Linked DNA regions of Neurospora crassa OR74A. The protein of the gene in region 4 interacts with the protein of the main gene of each other region in a pairwise test. Links are inferred from orthologs where the notes say so. Each region holds a gene or a part of one and is shown on either strand. Other genes may lie near its edges.

Region 1 (5,223 bases), on a different chromosome or scaffold from region 4:
CGCTTTACTCTCCCGCCTTATCGATTGAGTTGTTTGCCCCCAAGATTCGTTGGAACTTGGATGCCCAGTTCACCTCGCTCTTTGTTGTTGTGTCCTTGTTTTGTGGGTTTGGTAGACAGGAGATACGTCACTTCAATTGAGAGCCGCCCTGAGGATTCATGAGCGGTCGGTCAAAGAGTTACAGAGTACACACTGAAGTGAGGCTCAAGATAACGATGCAAAATGCAAAGTCAACAAAAAAGGCTGAACAAAGGAAAGAGTCGACCTGATTACAATCCGATTCGAGTCATACATGGTGAAAAGTCTGATGGTCGCATGACTAGTTTTAAATCCTTTGCCTCTTCATCCGCAAACCGGTTCCCCCAAGACCCAAGGTTGACCCGCCTGGCTGCAAGATACGTGTAATGCATCCTCGGCGGCGGCAAAAGAGCCCTTAAAAGCATGCACGTCTCAGGCGGCTCAAGCGTCCCGGGCTGTAGGTGGATCTTGTGGGGTACGTCAACCGCTAGGTGAAACCCTAGTACAACAACATCCAACAACAGCATGAGAACCCTTCGAGGGAAACCTGGGTTTCTGGATAGACCGAAAACAGACTGTTGGTTTGGAACTCTTCCTTTTGCCTGGTGGGTTTAAGAAGTCATGGTGGACTGGAAAAAAATAATGTGGCATGTCCTAATCATTGCTCTAACATTCCAGTGTTTCATCCCAAAAATTACCTCTACTTCTTGAACGATCCGTGTTGAAGATACCTGTACTGAAGATAACGAAATTGAAGTGTTCGGTTTAGGATGTTGTGTTTGTTCAGAAACTGCCCAATCTAATAATTTATCATGTGGTGGTGTTACATTTATCCAAAGTTGAGATTTGGGCATTTGCATTGATTCGTCTCAGAGCTCCTATTGGCTCCCTCGCAGGCCTTGTATCCTTTCCAAGTCAACATCGCCTTCGCTCTTTCGGAATCTGGCACACAAGAAATGCCAGGGAAGGGCACAGAAACGAAGAGGAACTAAAAATTGGGATGGAAAAGAAAAAGAAAAAAAATGAGAGGGATTCTTATATAGCCCTATTCTCAGACCCGGGGTTTACCATGAACCTGTACTAACACGATTGAACAGGGTGCGAGTACCGGCGACCTCCGGTGTTGAGAATACTGGACATTGTAGATATTGTAGATCTTGAAGAGGTATCAAGTGTGTTCAAGAAATACAATGCCATTGTGTGTGCAAGCCTGCTTTTTTCCATTTCCGTTGAGGCCATGATTATCAACAACCCAAAAATCTATACATGCATGATATACCCAGAGTACTACAAACCAGTCCAACAACCACGACAACCAGAGCCCTATCAAGAAAGCTTGATACTCTTGACCAAGCCGGTCTTGATACCCGACAGTTCTCCCTGGTACCCGCCCTTGCCCTCGCCGCCCTTGTACACGGCCTTGACGCTCTTGAGCTTCTTCTGCTTCTCCGCGTACTTCATCCTCTTCTTGACACGCGGGTTGCGGTTCTCCTTCTTGCGATGCGGCGTGAGGCCCTTGTTCTTCTGGATCTGGTAGTTGATTTGGCGCTTGCCGTCGGGGCCGATCGTCGTCTCCTCCACGACCCGGGCGCCCTTGGCAGCCGCCAAAGCCTCGTACTTGGCCGCCTTGTCCTCCTTCTTCTTGGCCGCGTTGTGCGCCACCATGTCGTAGTACTCGTCCTCCTCTCCGCGCACCTGCTTGGCAACGGCCTTGTCCTCGTCGTCGCTGTCGCCCTCGCCCAGCACGGCGCCGTGCTTGCTGTCTTTCTTGCCGCGCTTCTCGGCCTCGGCGTTGAGCCGTGCTTGCCTGTCTCTCTGCGCAAAAGTCAGTATATGACAACACGGCATGTTTTTTAGGCAATGGCCGACTTACAAATCTCTCACGGTAGGGAAGATCGTCATCACCACCGGCGTTGCGACCCGCATCCGCACGCTTGGCGGACTTGGACACAATCTGGGAGGTGTAGAATTTGAGACTCTTCTTGCGAGCAGCCTTCTCCTTGGCCACGTGAGCTTCAAGGATCTCCTCGTCACCAAAGTCGGAGCGCTCATCGTCATCGCGCTTGTCGACCTTGACAGACTTCTTGCTGGCCTTGGTTGCCGTCTTGGTGGTTTCAAGCAAACTGGAGAGATCGGCAAGAGACTGCTCGACAGCCCTGGCCTTCTTGGCCTTCTCGGCCTCCTTCTTCGCCTTGGCCTTGAGCTCAGCCTTGGATTCGCGCTTGCTCTTCTTGAGCATCTTCTTGAAGTCCTCCATATCGTCGTCAGACAGGTCATCATACTCGCCCTCATCTTCGGGTGGCGAAAGCATGCCGCTGGTCGAGGAGACGCTCTTGAGCGGCTTGAGTTCCTTGACCTTAAGCCAGGCCTCGCGACAGCTCATTAACGTGCCCATAACCTCGTGGTCCCTGAGTTCCGTAGGGCTGATCGTCTTGGACACACCTTGGCTGTCTCTTGCTGGCGAAGTCAGGATAGCGAAATAACTGGCGAGTGAAGCGATGTAACACCCAAGAGTCCAGAACTTGACCATCTCCAGAGACTTGGCAGGCTTGCCCTCGGCCTCTTTTTGAAGAGTTGTGAGAATCGGCTGCAGCTCCCTAAACTCCTGCGCCAGGTAGTCAAACTCGGGATATCGGCTCTGTAGAAGCTTGTATCTTTCTTCCGGCCCCATGTCCTCTGTGACTTCGATCTCGTTGAGTTTCTCGGTAATGACATCCTCCTCTCCCTCGGCCTCCTCCTTGGTTCCTAGCCATTCGCTCTCGTCAAACGCGAAATCGGCCTCGGACATTTTGGCCAACTTCTTGGCCTGGAGCCTCTTTGCCTCAGCCTCTTCCTCCAAGGCATCGGCCTCGGTCTCGATCTGGTCGGCATTGTAGTAGTCCTTTCTGGAGGAACCCCACCATCCTTCGTCACCTTCTTCCTCCTCTTCACCACCCATCTCTTCGTCGGAAAGTACTGTTGTCTTGACCTTCTTGCCCTTCGCGGGCGCGGCGTCTTCGTGTTCGCTCTCCTCATCGGATTCGTCCTCCTCGAAAACCTCCTCGTCAGAAGCCTCTAGGAACTCCTCCTCCTTGTCTTGGCGCCTGCGCTTGGATTGTCTGCCATCATCGCTGTCGTCAAAGTCGATGCGATCCTGGTTCTCCCAGTATTCGTCTTCGGAGTTGGCGACATCTTTGTAAGTCTTAACGGTAAGGCGGGCGTCCTTGGCATCGACCTCGCGAGGCTCGGCGGGACCGGTCGGTCTCGGGGCTTTTCTCTTCTTCGCCATTTTTGCGTTTGTGTCGCGGTTATCTATTCAGGCGTGTTGGATGGAGTTTGGCGCGACTGAGAAACGTTGACGTGAAGACGCTGCCAAAAGGCACTTGGAGATGCTCGTTGAATGGGCTGGTGGGTTCGTTCGCTAGGCGGGCAACAAATGTTGAAGCGGCAGAATTTTTTTGCTCTTGTCAATTTGCGATCCATTCTCAGCGGAACCTCGACCGCCCAGCTCCACTCTCATGCAGGCTGCCTAACCCCACAATTGAAGATGCTCCACAGTTACATCTGAAATGGTCAAAGCTTCCATCCCGTCCTCAGGGTCGACGGGAAGCTCCAAGATGCCCCCCAGGCCTGCCAGATTTACGTTGACATGACCTCAATGGGTTCAGTTATGACAGTAGAGAAAACCGCTTCTGAAGACTCGAAAACGCAAACTCCAGCAAATGGTTCCAGAAACCTCATTTTCCTACGGAGTGCGAAGAAATCGGTCGAATCATCACCCATCAACAAGTCACTTACAGACAGGGGTGTAAGCTCCAGTACGACGGGAACTGCTGACAGCATCCACTAAATTTACGCCGTAGAGGTACTCGTTCGTACTCTAGACGTATACAGAATAGCTTAGGCGCCGCCGCGTCAACAATTCCACTTTCCTCGAGCCCGATCTTCTTTCACGATCCAAGGAAGGATGAACCATTATCTCTTCTCAGAGTCGCTGATGGAACAATTGAAAACCCTCAGCACCTCCTGGTCTCTCCCAGTTGCAGCCGTCGTCGCGGCCATTGGCATATTTGCTACAATGGGTCTCTTCAGCTCCAAAAACCACATGCCAGTCGAGGGCCGGGTATGCGCCCCGAAGCCTCACCCGACCTGACCCGACCTCCAAACAACACTAACTCAACCCCTGTTACCAGACCGTCCTCCTAACCGGCGCCTCCGAAGGCATGGGCCGCTCAGCGGCCATCCAACTTTCGCAAAAGGGCGCCAATGTCATCCTCGTCTCGCGCAACGTCGGGCGCCTTGAAGAAGCCCTCGTCGACGTCCGCGCCGCCGCCAAGAACCCGTCCACACAACGCTTCACTTACATCTCAGCCGACGTTTCCGAGCACGACTACGCCGCCGCGGTCCTCGCCGAAGCTATCGCCTGGAATGGCGGGCGCTCCCCGGACATCGTCTGGTGCGTGGCCGGCATGTCGACGCCTCTGCTGTGGACCGACGATGGCAGCATGGCGGCCGCACGCCGCAACATGGACGTCAACTACTTTGGGTCGGCGGAGATGTCGCGGGCGATTTTGAGGGAGTGGCTGGCACCCGAAAACAGCACGGGACCCAACGGAGAGCCGAAGCACTTGGTATTTACCGCGTCAATGTTGGCGCTTTTTGCGATTTTGGGCTATGGCCCGTACACCCCAACCAAATGGGCGCTGAGAGGACTGGCGGATACCCTGGCGATGGAGGTCAATTACTACCCAGATAACCCGGTCAAGGTGCACATTGTGTATCCCGGCACGATTGTATCACCGGGCTACGAGAGGGAAAATCAGACGAAGCCGGACATCACGGTGGAGCTGGAAAAGGACGAGCCAGCGGAAAGCCCGGATACGGTAGCAAGGAGGGCGATTGCCGGGCTGGAGGCTGGCAAGTATTTTGTCGATGTGTCATTCCTGGGAAGGCTGATGCAGTGCGGGATCATGGGCGGGTCGCCGAGGAACAACTGGGTGCTGGACACGTTGATGGGGTGGCTCATACCGATCATCTACTTCTTCGTGTTGAGGGGGATGAACTCAACGATTGTGAAGTGGGCGAGGGAAAAGGGGCATCCTTTTACGCATCCCAAGAAGAAGTGATGCGATGGTTGGATCTGTTCTTTTGTATGGATGTGTATATGATATCTATGAACATAAAAATACTGTAATAACTTTGTTGTTGTAATAGACCGATATCAGC
Region 2 (5,143 bases), on a different chromosome or scaffold from region 4:
CCTTTTTTTTTGTTTCTTTTTTTTTCCTTTTATTTTTTTTCTTTCTTTTCTTTTCTTTTTTTTTTTTTTTTTTTTTTTTTTTTTTTTTTTTTTTTTTTTTTTTTTTTTTTTTTGATAAAGGGCAAGCTAGTAGTAGGGGTAGGCAATCCCAAATACTAATAAGATGTAATGAAAATGGAGAGTTACCAATTTGGCTGAGGGTGGATAGCTAGACTGATTTTGCATTTTTTCACTTTGTAGACCTGTGGAGGTAGAGGTAGGTACCAAGTTATGAGTCGCTATGATCTGGGCTGAATTGGAGGAAAGATCACACGGAGAATAGTGACGGGTAACAGAAGGAAAGCATGAGGGGAAACAGAGCAATGAGGTTGGAGAGGGCCAGGATTAGTTGTTGTACTGACTCCATAATATTAGGCACACAAGAATCATCTTCGACAATGTTGAACGTGAACAGTTGAGCATTGTATACCGGCTGACGGCCGATGAAAAACAAACTCATGCATAGTTTTTGAACTCCCAATTATGTACCTATTCCATACAAAAGAAAAAGACCTTTACAGATCGCCCTTAGCCAAGACTGCCCACCCGTCCAACCCATCAGGGTATCATCCATCTTCTTCCTACGTCTATCCCTCGTCTAACAACCCGACCTTTAAAGCTTGAAGGCACCACTCGACGTAGGACCCTTCTGCTCCGCGATCTTCTTGCCATCCAACCCAACCGTCTCACCCTTCCGGTTAATAACCTTGACACCGCCCTTCTTGAGCTGGCTCATCGTCTCCTTGCGTTCCTGGGCACCCTTGCTGATGTTCTTGTTCGCATCCAGGCCGCCGGCCTTGCGGATGCGCTCCTTCTCGCGTCTGCGTCTCCTAGCCTTCTCCTCGCGGCTCATCTCCTCCTTGGCAATCGGCAGGCCGCTCTTGGCCACGACCTCGCCCTTCTCGACTGAGTCCTTGCCGGGGGCGTACACCTCCTGGGGCGCGAGCGTGCTCTCGCCACCCGACACACCCTGGGCCGTGGTGGGCATGGCGTCCTCCATGGCGACGGTGGCGACGTCGGTGACAACGCTGATGGTGGGTGCGGCGGGTTTAGGCTTGTAGTGCCAGCTGCTGAGGGCGTCGAGCTTGGCGCAGATGTCCTTCCACATGTTCTTGATCTCGGCCTCGTCGCGCGTGAGCTTCTCGTCCGAAGCGCTGACGTACTCGTCCGGGTTGGCCTTCTTGATGTGCTCCTCCTCGTAGATCTCGGCGAGAGACTGCTTGCCCTTGGTGTCGTCGATCTCAACGAGACCGCGGCGCGCGTTGTTGGGGTTATTGAGGGTGTCAGGACGTCTCCTGAGAACCTCGTCGAACTCGTTGGCAAGAATGCGGCGTTTGATGAGCGCCTCAATCGTCTCGGAAACCTCCTCGGTAATGACGGGGACAGGCTTTCCGACATGCTCAAACTCGAGGTCTTCCTCCAGGAGCGAGTTCATGGGACGAGCTTGCGCGGAAGCCTCACCGGACAGAGTCCAGGCGCGCTTGGCAACTAGCTCAGACTCGAGCCTGCGGATCTCCTCGGCAATCTTGGCTTGTCTGCGCTCGTGGGCGGACCGGCGAGATCTCGGATCACCAGCATCAAGATCCGAGAGCTTATCTTCATCTTCATTCTCCGAGATGTCGTCGAAGAGATCGCGGCGCACATCATTCTCGGCTCTCTCCATATCGGCCTCATCTGGCTGCTCAAGTTTCTTGGGGAAATAGCCTCCTTTCCTTTGGTTGCCGGTCTTCTTCTTTTGAGGTGGCGCGAAGAAGTCCTTGTAGTAAATGTCGTTGGCGGTAAGGTCCATGTCCATACCGAGAACACCATCTGTAAGGCCGAGATCGTCGCCATCGTCCTCGAGCTGCTCCACGTTCTTCTTGCCCTTGAGTTTCTTGGCGTGGGCGGCGGCAGCAGCCTCGAGGGCCTCGTCGTCTTCGGATTCATCGCCCATGTCGACGTCGTCCTCATCCTGGTCTTCGTCCTTCTTCTTGTCGCTCTTGCCCTTCTTTGATTTTGGCTTTGTCGCGAAAGGATCGGCGTGCCAGTCTAGCTGTTCGTCGTCGCTGTCGGCATCGACGTTGGGGTCCGCACGGGCATCCGCGTCCTCCCACAACTGTGTCTGCCGGTTGAAGTCGTCTATTGAGAAGAAGCCGTCGTTGAGGCCGTTGGGATCCTCGACAAGTTCTGGCGCATCCTCTTCCTCTTCTTCTTCTTCTTCTTCTTCTTCTTCTTCCTCCTCCTCCTCATCAAACTCTCCTTCTCCATCTTCGTCCGAGAATTCAACCTCTTCGCCATCGATCTCGATTTCTTCATCGTCGTCGATCTGGCTGCCCTCTTCTCCTTCTAATTCTTCTTCGTCATCCTCCTCATCCTCTTCTCCTTCAGAGCCAGAACCAGATTCGCTATCAGCATCCTCCTCATCGTCCTCCTCCTCCTCATCAGAACCAAGCTCAAACCCATCCTCTCCAAACTCAATGGTCTTCTCTTGTTCCTCGCCGGTGCCCACAATCCCGTTCTCCTCCAGCTCCTTCAGCACATCGCCAGCCTCCTTTGTGGCGCTGGCAATGATCTTCTTGGCCTGCTGCCAAATCTGCTCCGTCTCGAAGCCGTCGTCGACGTGCAGCTTGCGAATCTTGAGCACGGCATTCTTGTCATAGCCAGCCTCACGCTTGCGCTTCTTTCCACCGATGGTGGCCGCGATCTCTTTCAGCTTTGCCTGCTGGTGGTCACTGACCTGCGAGGCGAGCGCGTCGAGGGTCTCCTTGGCGAGCAGGAGGGATCCGGCGGGAAGGGTCGAGGGCGGCTGCAGGAAGACGTGGCGGTTGGACTCGTCGGCCAGGGCCGAGAGGAAGGAGGCGACGACGGGGTTGTTGGCAATTGTCGAAGGAGAGGTGCTGCCGCTCGACGATGCGGCGAGGGTAGCGGCCATGACGCTGTTGTGTGTGGAGGGGTCGTGGGTGATTGTTTGGGATGTCGAGGTTACGGAAGAGGTTATGCTGCCAGCTGCCATGTCTGTTTTTTAGGTAGGGTTGGACTAATGCTGTAAGAAGATCAATCAAGGCTAGGGTATCGAGGCTGGCCTTGTCATACAAGTGTCTGACTTGAGGGTTCAATATGGACGCTTGACTAAGAAATGGCAGGGCGTCGGTGTTTGCCGTTGCCCGTACCAAAACAAAAAAAAGTTCGACCTGACGATGTTTGGTTGCCAGCCGGCGATATTGATGGACCAAAATTTTTTCTGCCATAGCGCTCTCCAAGGTCCAGGAAACGGCGAAGCGTGGAGGCAGGCGTCCCCGCACCAGCTTATGGGGCTGGCTGTGAATTGACCAATGATGGGTGATTCTGCTCTCTGGAAATGGAAGTAGGTCCCACTTCTCTTGTTGTTAAGCTTCAGGGCGGTGCACCGCTATAAGACGAGGTTGCCTTAACACTTATAATCGGATGACAATGTCAAGTAAACAAACCACAAAGTGCATGCAGTCTCAAAGGAGATGCTCGACATCAAGCTTGAGAGAGGGGATGAATTCACAATGACCTTTTTTTAAATATAGCATACGCTAGCGAGTTACTCTGAAGTTACTGGAAACTCAGTAAGCAATCACGCAACGATCTCCAGTGCTGTTGGATAGGTGAAGTCGCCGTTTCGACACAGGCACCTAGCTTGTTATCAGCACTTCCTTATCTAAAATTCCAGACTACCCTATCAATCCCATCAGCTCGTACATAGTCTATTGTATCTTTCGCCGCTTCACTTTCGTCGTAACTGGAAGTTTCTTGTCAAACGGTAAAAGGTAATTAAATTGTGCAAGAACTGTAAAATGTTAAACCAACGATTAACCCCATTGAGGAAGAGCGCTAGGTTTGCCTCATACTAGCTACATTACAGTATGCTTCTCGTGTTCTTTTCAACATCGTAATGAGATCTCTGCGACAGACGTTGATGGACTATTTTCTGTAGAGGTAGGCTACTTACCCAGCCGGCTCTTCTTCATGGTCTGGATAACGTGCAGAGAAAGCTCTTATTACATAGTAGAAATGTAAGGGTGTTATTTGCGCACCTTCGGGGAAAGATGCTGCAAGTCATAACACTTGTTGAAGTTCCTTCACAAGCCACATCCCTATGCATATGGTATCGCCCGTGAGAATTTTGACGGACCATGAGGTATTCTTTCAAAATACGACAGCAGCGTTGACGTGCTGCATTAGGGTCTGGACCGTCTAAGCCTTCATTGAATGCAACTCGCGGGAGAGTGTCCCGCCGAGCCGAGCTGCGAGTGATACTCAAGACCTTCGTATCCCAGGCCAGGGAATTGTATCATGTTCTTTAGCGGTTGCCGAGGTCAATGTGAGGGCGATGGTGGCTTTGGTGATCCCAGCCTCTATGGTCGTGCGTTGCGTGCTCTCAATATGACCTCTTTTTCATGTTCGCCGGGAAATAACTGTGAACCTCACGGTGAAGATGTTTGCTATGTAACCACTAACTTGCTGTCGTGAACGGCGAGGATCCCATCAAGTGTCAGTGGCCTCCTGTATAGTACGACACATGAACTTGATCGCTAAGTGGCGTTGCTCGGTCCAATCGCATCACACCATCTATCTCTGCTACCTACCTAGAGTAGAATGGCCAAGTTAACGGCAACATTTCCAAAGTCGTACAGGAGGTCGCGAGAGAAGTTTCGGTTGGCTCACACTATGTAACTGCCAATCGCACACTGTTTGGTTACAGAGCTGGAAGATACGTCGAGATGGAGGGACGGGAAATACTTTTGAGTTGCCGGATGTTACCTAATTTGTCAAGCGAAGGAGATCTCCTTGTGAAAATCCGGACGGGCCGATTCATTCTTTTCTATTTTCCATATCCGCCTCCCTTCTGGCAGGCTCTATGTGAGGGTGAGAGGAGAAACTGCATCCCACAACAGGTCTTCACAACACGACTTGTCAAGAGCACCTGTCCGTCGCCCCACCCCATCTATGCTGTTGGGAGCCGTCTTGCAGCTGTACCAGTGGCAACTCGATCGTTTTCTCTTGGTAGGACCACGGTGCAAATGCTTGAGTACCGTACCTACCTAACCTCGGTCGAGACAAAATGAAAGAGACTGCAGCCGGCCCAGACCAGAATCAT
Region 3 (5,138 bases), on a different chromosome or scaffold from region 4:
AAGTATGCAGTCCTGTGGTTGGTGGTGATGGGAGGCAAGACAGCGAACCTAACGCGACCCGGCCAACCGGCCTGACTTGGCTGACTGGCGATCGAGGGCGGGAGAATCTCCATTGGCGAAAACCCATCTCCGCCCTTTTAGGCAAATGCAACCTTGCAAGAACATTCCTACTTTTTCCAGCTTCTCCCCTTTGATGATCTGATGGGAACTGATTTGCACTCGCACTGCAGGATTTTCCGTGGACAACTGCTGGCCATTGCCGCTCACTGACGGTCACGACTGTGCCGCCGCCTGACAAGCCATCCTTATGGTCTGGTATGCATCGCCACGGTTGCGGTAAACGCTTCGGTGCCTGGGTGCCGGGGTGCCCAAGTCGAAAGCTTGTATGTAGTGCAATGTAAGGCTTCTCGTAACCGAATCAGCCTGAGTGTAAAATTAGCATGTCAAACGGTGCCAAAAAAAAAAAAAAAAAAAAAAAAAAAAAAAAAAAAAAAAAAAAAAAAAAAAAAAAAAAAAAAAAAAAAAAAGGCCCAATAACCAAACCCAACTAGACCGGAAACTGAACGACGTGCTCGGTCTTAAGTCTTACAAAAAGTTTTTGGGCTTTCCATGTATGAAGAATATCAAACTATCATCATATTTTCATTTATAAAAAAAAAATTTCAAAGAAAATATTAGCAACACTACATTTTACACATCTTTCCTGTTACCACTGGGTTGTGTGTTCCTGGAGCACAAGCATTGTAGATCATTCAAACCCAAAAGATCCAATTCACAAATTTGCAAGGCACAGCAAAGGCGGGGAGTGCTCCAGTGCGCGTTCATACGAACAGTCTCGGGAGTAAATGCCAGGCTGACGGCAACTGGGATAACCATTTCATATCCACAGGTGATATGGTCCTGCAGCCCATGATCCAATCGGTCTGAAGACCCAGTGGCCAAACGCCAATGCCCAGGGTGTTACTTTCCGCGGTTTATTGGCCGAATGAAGAATGCCATGTGAGATACATCAAGGCCTGTACGCTTCTTGTACATTGCGAGTACACGGCACTATTCGTCAGGCTTTCAAATGGCCATGGAAAGAGATACAGGCACGTGAAAATGAAATCAAACGAGCTTACGCAGCAAGGGAGACACATTGTTTTGCAAATGCTTTATTTGGGAGAATAAAGGCATTGGGAAGGAGAGGAGGGTAGTGAGGCGTCGCAGTCCGAAAAACGAGCAACCCACGAAAACACTGACCTGTGGTAGATGGCTACTAGGTAGTAGTGCTGATATCGTGTAAGCAAAAAAGAAGGATGACAAAACATGGTTCCAGTGCGTCACTTCCCATTCTCTACCACTGATACTAACTGGGCAAGTCGCTACTTGCCCTTCTTTCCGTCATGGCAATGTCTGAGTTGGAATGGCGCATGGCAAGCGTTCGCTCGACAAAAAATTGCGTTTCACTTGACCCGAGAACTTTGTATCCGCAAGAAGATAGTATTGACTAGCTAAGGCTGGACGTATGAAAGAGCTAGGAAGAGGCGAAGAAGAGTATATGACGAAAGGAGAGGAGGGAAGGCAGGCCAGGTTGAATGGTCTTGCGTAGACGATGAAAGCGTCTTGAGTCCGTTGTTGAACGCCCCATGTTTTGGTTGCAAAAACAGCGACAGCGCAATCACAGGCGACCCAAGTTCCGGAGGCTCTAGCCCGCAAAATCGCGATGTTGTATCACGAAGCTGGCCAAAGCCCCCGCAGCCTCTCTCACGCGTGAGAAAGGCAAACAGACCTTTCACCCATCCCTCCATGTTCCTCACCACGGTTTGATTGTCGATTAAATGATGTCCCACGCATCCTCAGCGGCGTGACAGAACTTGCTGCACGCTACGCTGGCTGACAAGCTATAATTGCTGATGGAAATCTTCTCATCGACATACTCATCCGCAAAGTTATCGGCGCCCTTGGCCATGGCGCCTACAAAGACGCAAATGCTCTCATTCTCGCCCAAAGCGTCGATGTACTCGCGAACGCGCACAACGGGGGCGTCGAAGCTGAGCGTAATCTTGCGGCAGTTGGGAGGCAGGTGGTCCGTAATAGGGTTCTGAATCACCTTCAAGAGCTTTTCCTGTGAGTTGGTTCCCTTGATGGACAGACGATGGAGAAGCTGGACCATGAGACCAGCGAAGCGCTTGAAAGTGCGGGGTATACGGACAGCAGGCGAGACCTCGATCAGGACCCCTTTGGCGGTCTGGATATAGATCTGCAGCCTGCCGGCCTTGTTGACGGGCGAGTCAAGGAGCGTGAGGAGGCACTAGAGTACACAAATGGCGAGTGTCAGTAGCAGTATCCGCATGTTGAATGCAGACTGGGAGTGTTTCCAACCTGGTGAGTAATGTCGGGGCGAGCGTCACTGATATCTCTGTTCATCTTGCGCATGACACCAATGTGCTCATCGCTATTGAGGAGCGAGTATTTTTCCTCTCGCTGCATGCCCATGCGGCCAGAGCCGCCGTGGGACGCCTTGTAGGTCTCGAGACTGGCGTTGGAGAGTACCACGATGAGCCTCTTAGTATCCTTGTCGGTAGGTGGGATGGGCATGTGCTGCTCAGCAACGAGTTGGGGCAGTGCCGGAGGAGGGAGCGACTGGGTGCCTGCCATGGTCACGTCGTGGTTAGACATGTTGAAAACCTGAAGCTCACTCAATAATCGAATAACCAAATGTCCGGGGGCAACGACAGGTAGGAGAAATGGCAGGCGGCGGCGCTGGTAGAAACGGTAGGTTTGATGATAGTTGCTGATATGGTCGTCGTGATGGTGCTAGGGACGGGACGATGGATGATGTGTAGCCAAGAGAACGCAAGAATGGAGACAAGACGGCCTTTCGAGTTTTCGAGCGAAAAAAACGAAATGGCATTGGCCACCATTGGCGATCAGTCAAAAGAGAGTGGGGTACCGAAGTTCCAGGCTTCCCGGGCCCCTCTTTCCGTGTACAGTAGTAGTACGTCTTTGCGGCGTCTTTCCCGTCAGGGTGTTCCCGTCGATTTTTTTGTTTGATTTTTTTTGGTCCTCTGCGCTGCGCATGCGCTATGATGCTTGGCAACAACGGAACCGGGACACACGCAGCAATACAGCTTGGGAACGCTCAAGCCCGCCCCTCAAACCTCCGAAAAACTTCATACCTCGAGCGCCGCAACACCTCGCATTCAGGGCCCAAACCAAAATGATTATCTGACATAGAAGAGATTAAAAGGTCGAGGAGGGTACTTACGAGGCCGCTTGCCAGCACGGGGGTGTTCTGGGGAAGATGATCCGGACGACATGGTGGCAGGGGAGCACGGAGCAAAGACAACGATGGAAAACCAAATGGACCCTTGATGGCAGCAAGATTGAAGCGGAAAAGTTGGAGGAAGAACGAGACGAGAGCCCAGAGCGCGGGTGCGCGGGCGCACGTGCCCTTTTATATGTTCACGAAGCTCGATAACACGACCTGGATAAACCGACTGTGTGGGGCCATACGAACTGAGAGCAGTCAGCCCCTACCCCAAGCTTGGCATTGATATCGCGCGCCGGCAACCATCAGTCCTCACAAGAAAGCATCGTTTGAAATAGTCTCAGTCAGACCCACAACCTCCAAAACCACCCCACCCCACCCGTTTCTGCGGTAGCAGGTCTGAGCCAATTTTGAGCATTTCGGCCGTCAGCCGCTGTAGGACCCAACTATATATTATTATATATTATAAATTCAAGGAAGCTAGTAAAGATAAATAAAAATTACTCTTATATAGAACATTTTATTCTGATTCCAATGGTAGCCTTAGTTCCCTCATACGACTAAAAATCGTCGAAATACAAGGCTTTGAACTTTTGGACTTTTACCCCCTCAAGGCTACATTACTTTAATGGGTGGTCCGAGCTTTATAAAAATGGTACCGTCAGAACCGCCTTCCCAAGGCTTACCCTCTAGGCTAGCCGTTAGCTTCTAGTTCTTCCTTCTACATCATTTTTCATAACGCTTTCAAATATCATCATACTATTATTTACAGAGCGCTCCAATTACCCGTATCAAATAGTAGCTACAATTAAAAATTAATTAACCAAACTAAACCCCTTTCAATTAGAACCTTTAACTAAGTAAACTAATTAATCTTCAAACGGTTCATTAAACCTCTAATCGCAAAGACCCTATATCGCTCAACACCAACCCTGCAATCGCAAACAATAATAACAATCCTTTACTATTATATCTCTAAATCCTTCCCAATCCTTCCCTTATACCTTCTCCCCGCGCTTCCTAATTATACTATACCAATTTACTTGTATTGGTTCGTATTAATTAAAATATTATATTATACTACCCTAATCCGAATACCTACAGACCTCAATATAAAGGGTAACCCCGTCTACCAATTACTCAATTCTTAAACGTATTTCTACTCCTACTTCTTATCTATACTCCTACTAAGTACTTTCTTTATTCTCAATACTATTATTCATTAATAATTGTAATTAAATATACTATAATCTAAAAGCTAATTTCAATACTATAGCTAACTATAATTTAACTAACCCCGGCCTAGCTAATAATCCGCCTAATAATTTATTAATATATAATAATTTATTTTAATAAGAAAATTACTTTACTAATAACTTTAATAACCTAATTAATTATAATAGTACTATCGTCGGATAAACGAACTATCCTTCAACCTATAGTAAATTACCCTTTACTAAATTAATCCAACTACCTCCTAGATTAATAGCTTAGTCTAATAAAATTAAATAATTAAATACAATTAATTCTAAGTAACTAAATTCAATTAAATAAGATTCTCTTGAATTATTCTAATAACTATTAAATTTATTACTACCTCCGTCGCTCTTTCTACTGCCTAAACCTCCATTTCTACCTCCGAAGCTATAACTACTCCCCGCAACCTCTCTAACCAAAATAATTTTCACTATACTAAATAATTTACTAATTATAATTAATAAATCCCCTATAAAACCGGCTTTTATTCTAATAACCCCCAATAACCCTACTAAACTAGCGACCGAAGAAGCTCCTAAGAAAAAACCCGTTTCTCCCTCCAAAATTAAAAATATTATAAATTTCATAAAAAGTATATTTACGGGAGCTAAGCCAACTACGCCTCCTA
Region 4 (3,518 bases):
GAAACGTTCACCAGTCAGCTAAATAACTGACGACCATTCACTGAGCCAGGAAACACAGGAGCTGGACGGCTGAGCATCTCGCTACCGGATTCTATATGGTATGGTCGATCCCAGCCGCATCCATACTAGTTTTGCAGATGCTGTCTACTTCCAACCGCTCGAAAATTGACACTTCACAGCCTCAAGGTCACAGACTCGAAGCGGCGAGACAAGGACAGTGAGGTTTTGTTGAACTGGATTATAAGAGGTTGCACGCCGCCGCACGGTAGGAGAAGCATGGTGGCGGTCATAATTCGCCCGGCAATCGCCCTACTAGTGGTACGGTTCCCGACTCCCGTTGAGTATCCGCGCCTCACTCTGCCGCTAATGGCTTCGCCGTTGACTGCAAGCCAGGGATTGGTTAAGCTGGTCGATCCCAGCTTGGTTGGATATATGTAGAGGCGCAGCAGCAGTAGCAGCAGCCGTCTGTCTATTCGGTCAACAAGAGAGTTGACAATGTCTGATAGCATGAACGTGAGGTGAGGCTGGAACGACATGTCATTAACTGTTCAGCTCAACAGGTCGCAGAAGGCATGATTTCCACCCATATCTGTCCATCTACCTCATTGTGGAAAAATATCGTGGAGTTTTTTGTGTTTCTGGCTCAGCCTTGACCACTCGTCGTTTTCGGATCGTGAATGGCTTCCAACTCGTTAGGATCTCATGGCCACATTGTCTTTCTTTGGCCACTTCCGTTTCCACCCAGTCCCCTCCCCTTTGCCCAAACATTTCGGTCAATGATGTGGGGGCGATTTTTGTTGATACGCGGAAATGGGCACGTTTAGATGTTTCGAAACCCACTAGGTAACTAGTAAACTCACCACGTCAAAACAACACTGCACACAGCCTCAATCTTCCACAGCCCGGCGACCCGCTTTTGAGACCTACTATGCTCTCGGAAAAGGGAGCCGAAAAGTGAACCCTGATGGGATTTCTAGTAGGAAAGAATACATCGTTTTGACAAAGTATCATGTGAGTGACTGCCGAGGAAGAGCCTCATCAGGAGGCCTCTGGGGTGATCATATCCACATGCGCCTCTAAGCGCGCGCTTGAAGAGGCTGTGTATGAGAATACAGTTGGAGTGGACCAGACATATCTGTCTTTTTGGGGGCCGTATCTGTGAGGGCGCCTAGGCTGGAACGGAGTCGAATTGGCTTTTTGATGTGTTATGGGATTTTTTTTCTTGTTTTTCTTTTGTTTTCATTACTTCACCTCCTTCTTCGAGCTTTGACACATGATCGTGGTGATAGTTAGAGGCAGCCAACTGAAACAGCAAGCCGAAATCATCGGTCCTGAACAGCGGGATCACCGATAGTCATCCATGGCTTCAAAGATGCGATCGATGTCAAGATCGCAATGACACATGTCGCCTTGACATCCATTCTTCCAGCCTTCGATCAACTGAGAGGTGCGTGAGGCTCATTTTGCGGCCGCCGGAAACCTGGAGCTGGGGAGACACGGGGACCCTCATAGACGACGGGACGGGAATCTTGATCTTACTCGGAACCAACCGATCGACCCAACTACCAACTGGAGCGGAATCTAGGTCATCAGCTTATGATTCTCTTTGCCTCTTCCCCTCAGAAGAAAAGGCGCGTGCTATTGAGAATGTAGCAAAGGAAAGAGAGAAGAATGAAAAGAGTCGTAGAGTGCCCGACTTCCCCGATGAACACAACACCATCGTCTACGGCGCCTATAGCGTCTAGAAACCACCACAAAGAGATGTGGATTGTCTTTGAAAGTTTACAAAGTTCAGACTGGGCAAAATACATACTGATCAAGCATCCGCCCGGGACCTGAGTACCTGGGAAATACTTTCTCGCCGATTTCGCTGGTTAGGGGTTTTCGGGGTCCAGTGATATTGTTATACGATAACGTGCGGCGGTTGTTAGTTGTTTAGGTCGCTTATATATTGTTCGTAAGTCGTAACTAACTATGTAGTTAGTCGTTGGGCCAGCGCTGGAGGTACAGTATGGGTGGCACGAGGGGGGGAAGTGATTGAAGAACGGCATTGTTTGAATTATAGCCGCGGGACGGACACGCCGACCGAAGGGCAACTCCATACTGCTGTGTTTCCTTGTCTTCAGTCATTTTCTTGTTATTTGTTGTTTGCTTTTTCTTTTCTTTTTCTTCAGATGAGGCTCCGCCATCAATAGCGATAACCGGAATTACATAGTTTCGTTGAAGTGTTGAAAGTTCCAGGTAGGGATGAGTACCATGATGAAATTGGTGGGTTGGGTAAACATCACATGTAAACAACATCAGGAGTAGATAATGTACGTACTGAGGGTTGGCAAATGATGAAATGATCTTAAAACTCCTACTAGTAGATGATATGATAGACATGGTATCTCCAACCCATGATCCAAATATTGCACTTGCACTGAACGCTGATGATGATGTATACATGACAGCAACAACAACGGCACTAACAACAACACGGCCAACCACAAACTTACTCCGACTGCTACCCCCGAACCTTCTAAGAAGTAGCCATTTACCTCTTGTTCTTCTTGAGCCTCGCCGCCTTCTCCCTTGCGTACTCGTTCGCCGCCTGGCCTTCCGATCCCTGGATCTCCGCCACCAAGCGCTTGTACTTCTTCTCGTACGCCTCGTCCTTGGCCTTCTTGACCTTGAGGTTCTCGCGCTGCATGAAGGCCGCGTCCTTGCGGAGCTCCCTGAGTGCGCCCTTGCGCTCCTTCTTGTGTTCGGCCCGCAGCTTGGCCAGCTCGGCGCGCTCGCGGTCTGGGTCGTAGTGCTTGTTGGGGTCAAACGAATCCTCAAACTTGGGCACGTACGTCTTAATGGCGAGCGGCTTGTGGTGGTGCAGCTCGAGTGGCCTGCGGGAAACCTGGGCGAGCTGGAGGAGGCGGGAGATGCTTGTCGTTGCGTCCTTAAGCTGCTTGACGAGGGCTGCAGGGAGCTGGGCGGCGTTGGACTTGGTTGTCAGGTGTTGGAGCACGCGCTGGGCGGGCTGGAAGGTCTCGTAGAATGCGGGGAGTTTGCACCATGTTTCGGAAGCAGTCCTGAGAACGGAGGTGATGGTGCTGATAATGGCAACCTTCAGAGCGGAGTCGTCGCTGGTGGAGCGAGCGCTCTTGGGCTGCTGGCAGTCACCGCAGTTGAGCTTCCTGACGGTCACCTTGCTTGCACCCTTGACACGGATGCCAGCAGCGGGCTCGTGAACGGGGAACAGACCAAGCTTTTCCTTGGGCTTCTCAGCAGCGAGCGAGCAGAGAGTGTTGAGGCAGAAGTTGACAAATTCTGGTACGTAACGCTTGGAGAAGGATTGGTACTGAAGGGCGAGGATCGAAAGGTAAGCACCAATGGAGTAGTCGGCGAGTGTCTGGGGAATTTTCTGTCCCAAATAACGGGTGATGGAAAGCATCGCAGGGGTGACCACCTGATGGAAGTGATCAGAAGTAGGGTAGGTTGTGCCAATCGCTGTCAGAAGCATAAGGTCGCCGACGCTAAGGGCA

The links. The genes of interacting proteins can lie anywhere in the genome.
Region 1: the proteins of NCU07393 (region 4) and NCU00301 interact in binary tests that used the Saccharomyces cerevisiae proteins (3 or more experiments, as listed by UniProt). The link is inferred for Neurospora crassa OR74A from reciprocal best matches to the Saccharomyces cerevisiae genes NOP14 and SAS10.
Region 2: the proteins of NCU07393 (region 4) and NCU03952 interact in binary tests that used the Saccharomyces cerevisiae proteins (3 or more experiments, as listed by UniProt). The link is inferred for Neurospora crassa OR74A from reciprocal best matches to the Saccharomyces cerevisiae genes NOP14 and MPP10.
Region 3: the proteins of NCU07393 (region 4) and NCU02428 interact in binary tests that used the Saccharomyces cerevisiae proteins (3 or more experiments, as listed by UniProt). The link is inferred for Neurospora crassa OR74A from reciprocal best matches to the Saccharomyces cerevisiae genes NOP14 and EMG1.

What each region holds. Positions count from the first base shown.
Region 1 is NC_026503.1:3,362,021-3,367,243, forward strand, and holds NCU00301 (Sas10/Utp3 family protein), read right to left. Parts: upstream 3,436-5,223; 5' UTR 3,287-3,435; coding exon 1,892-3,286; intron 1,834-1,891; coding exon 1,345-1,833; 3' UTR 1,141-1,344; downstream 1-1,140. Other genes in the region: NCU00302 (3-ketodihydrosphingosine reductase tsc-10), read left to right, coding at 3,965-4,120, 4,191-5,123. UniProt on the Saccharomyces cerevisiae protein: Primarily required at the G2/M phase. Essential for viability: involved in nucleolar processing of pre-18S ribosomal RNA as part of the ribosomal small subunit (SSU) processome.
Region 2 is NC_026506.1:2,220,670-2,225,812, reverse strand, and holds NCU03952 (U3 small nucleolar ribonucleoprotein Mpp10), read right to left. Parts: upstream 3,441-5,143; 5' UTR 3,032-3,440; coding exon 653-3,031; 3' UTR 200-652; downstream 1-199. UniProt on the Saccharomyces cerevisiae protein: Involved in nucleolar processing of pre-18S ribosomal RNA. Required for the early cleavages at sites A0, A1 and A2 during 18S ribosomal pre-RNA processing.
Region 3 is NC_026507.1:2,520,486-2,525,623, forward strand, and holds NCU02428 (nucleolar essential protein 1), read right to left. Parts: upstream 3,385-5,138; 5' UTR 3,303-3,384; coding exon 3,251-3,302; exon of another isoform or gene 2,662-3,250; coding exon of another isoform or gene 2,634-2,661; coding exon 2,365-2,633; intron 2,294-2,364; coding exon 1,817-2,293; 3' UTR 1,141-1,816; downstream 1-1,140. UniProt on the Saccharomyces cerevisiae protein: S-adenosyl-L-methionine-dependent pseudouridine N(1)-methyltransferase that methylates pseudouridine at position 1189 (Psi1189) in 18S rRNA.
Region 4 is NC_026501.1:6,089,670-6,093,187, reverse strand, and holds the end of NCU07393 (rRNA maturation protein), read right to left. Parts: coding exon 2,537-3,518; 3' UTR 790-2,536; downstream 1-789. UniProt on the Saccharomyces cerevisiae protein: Involved in nucleolar processing of pre-18S ribosomal RNA. Has a role in the nuclear export of 40S pre-ribosomal subunit to the cytoplasm.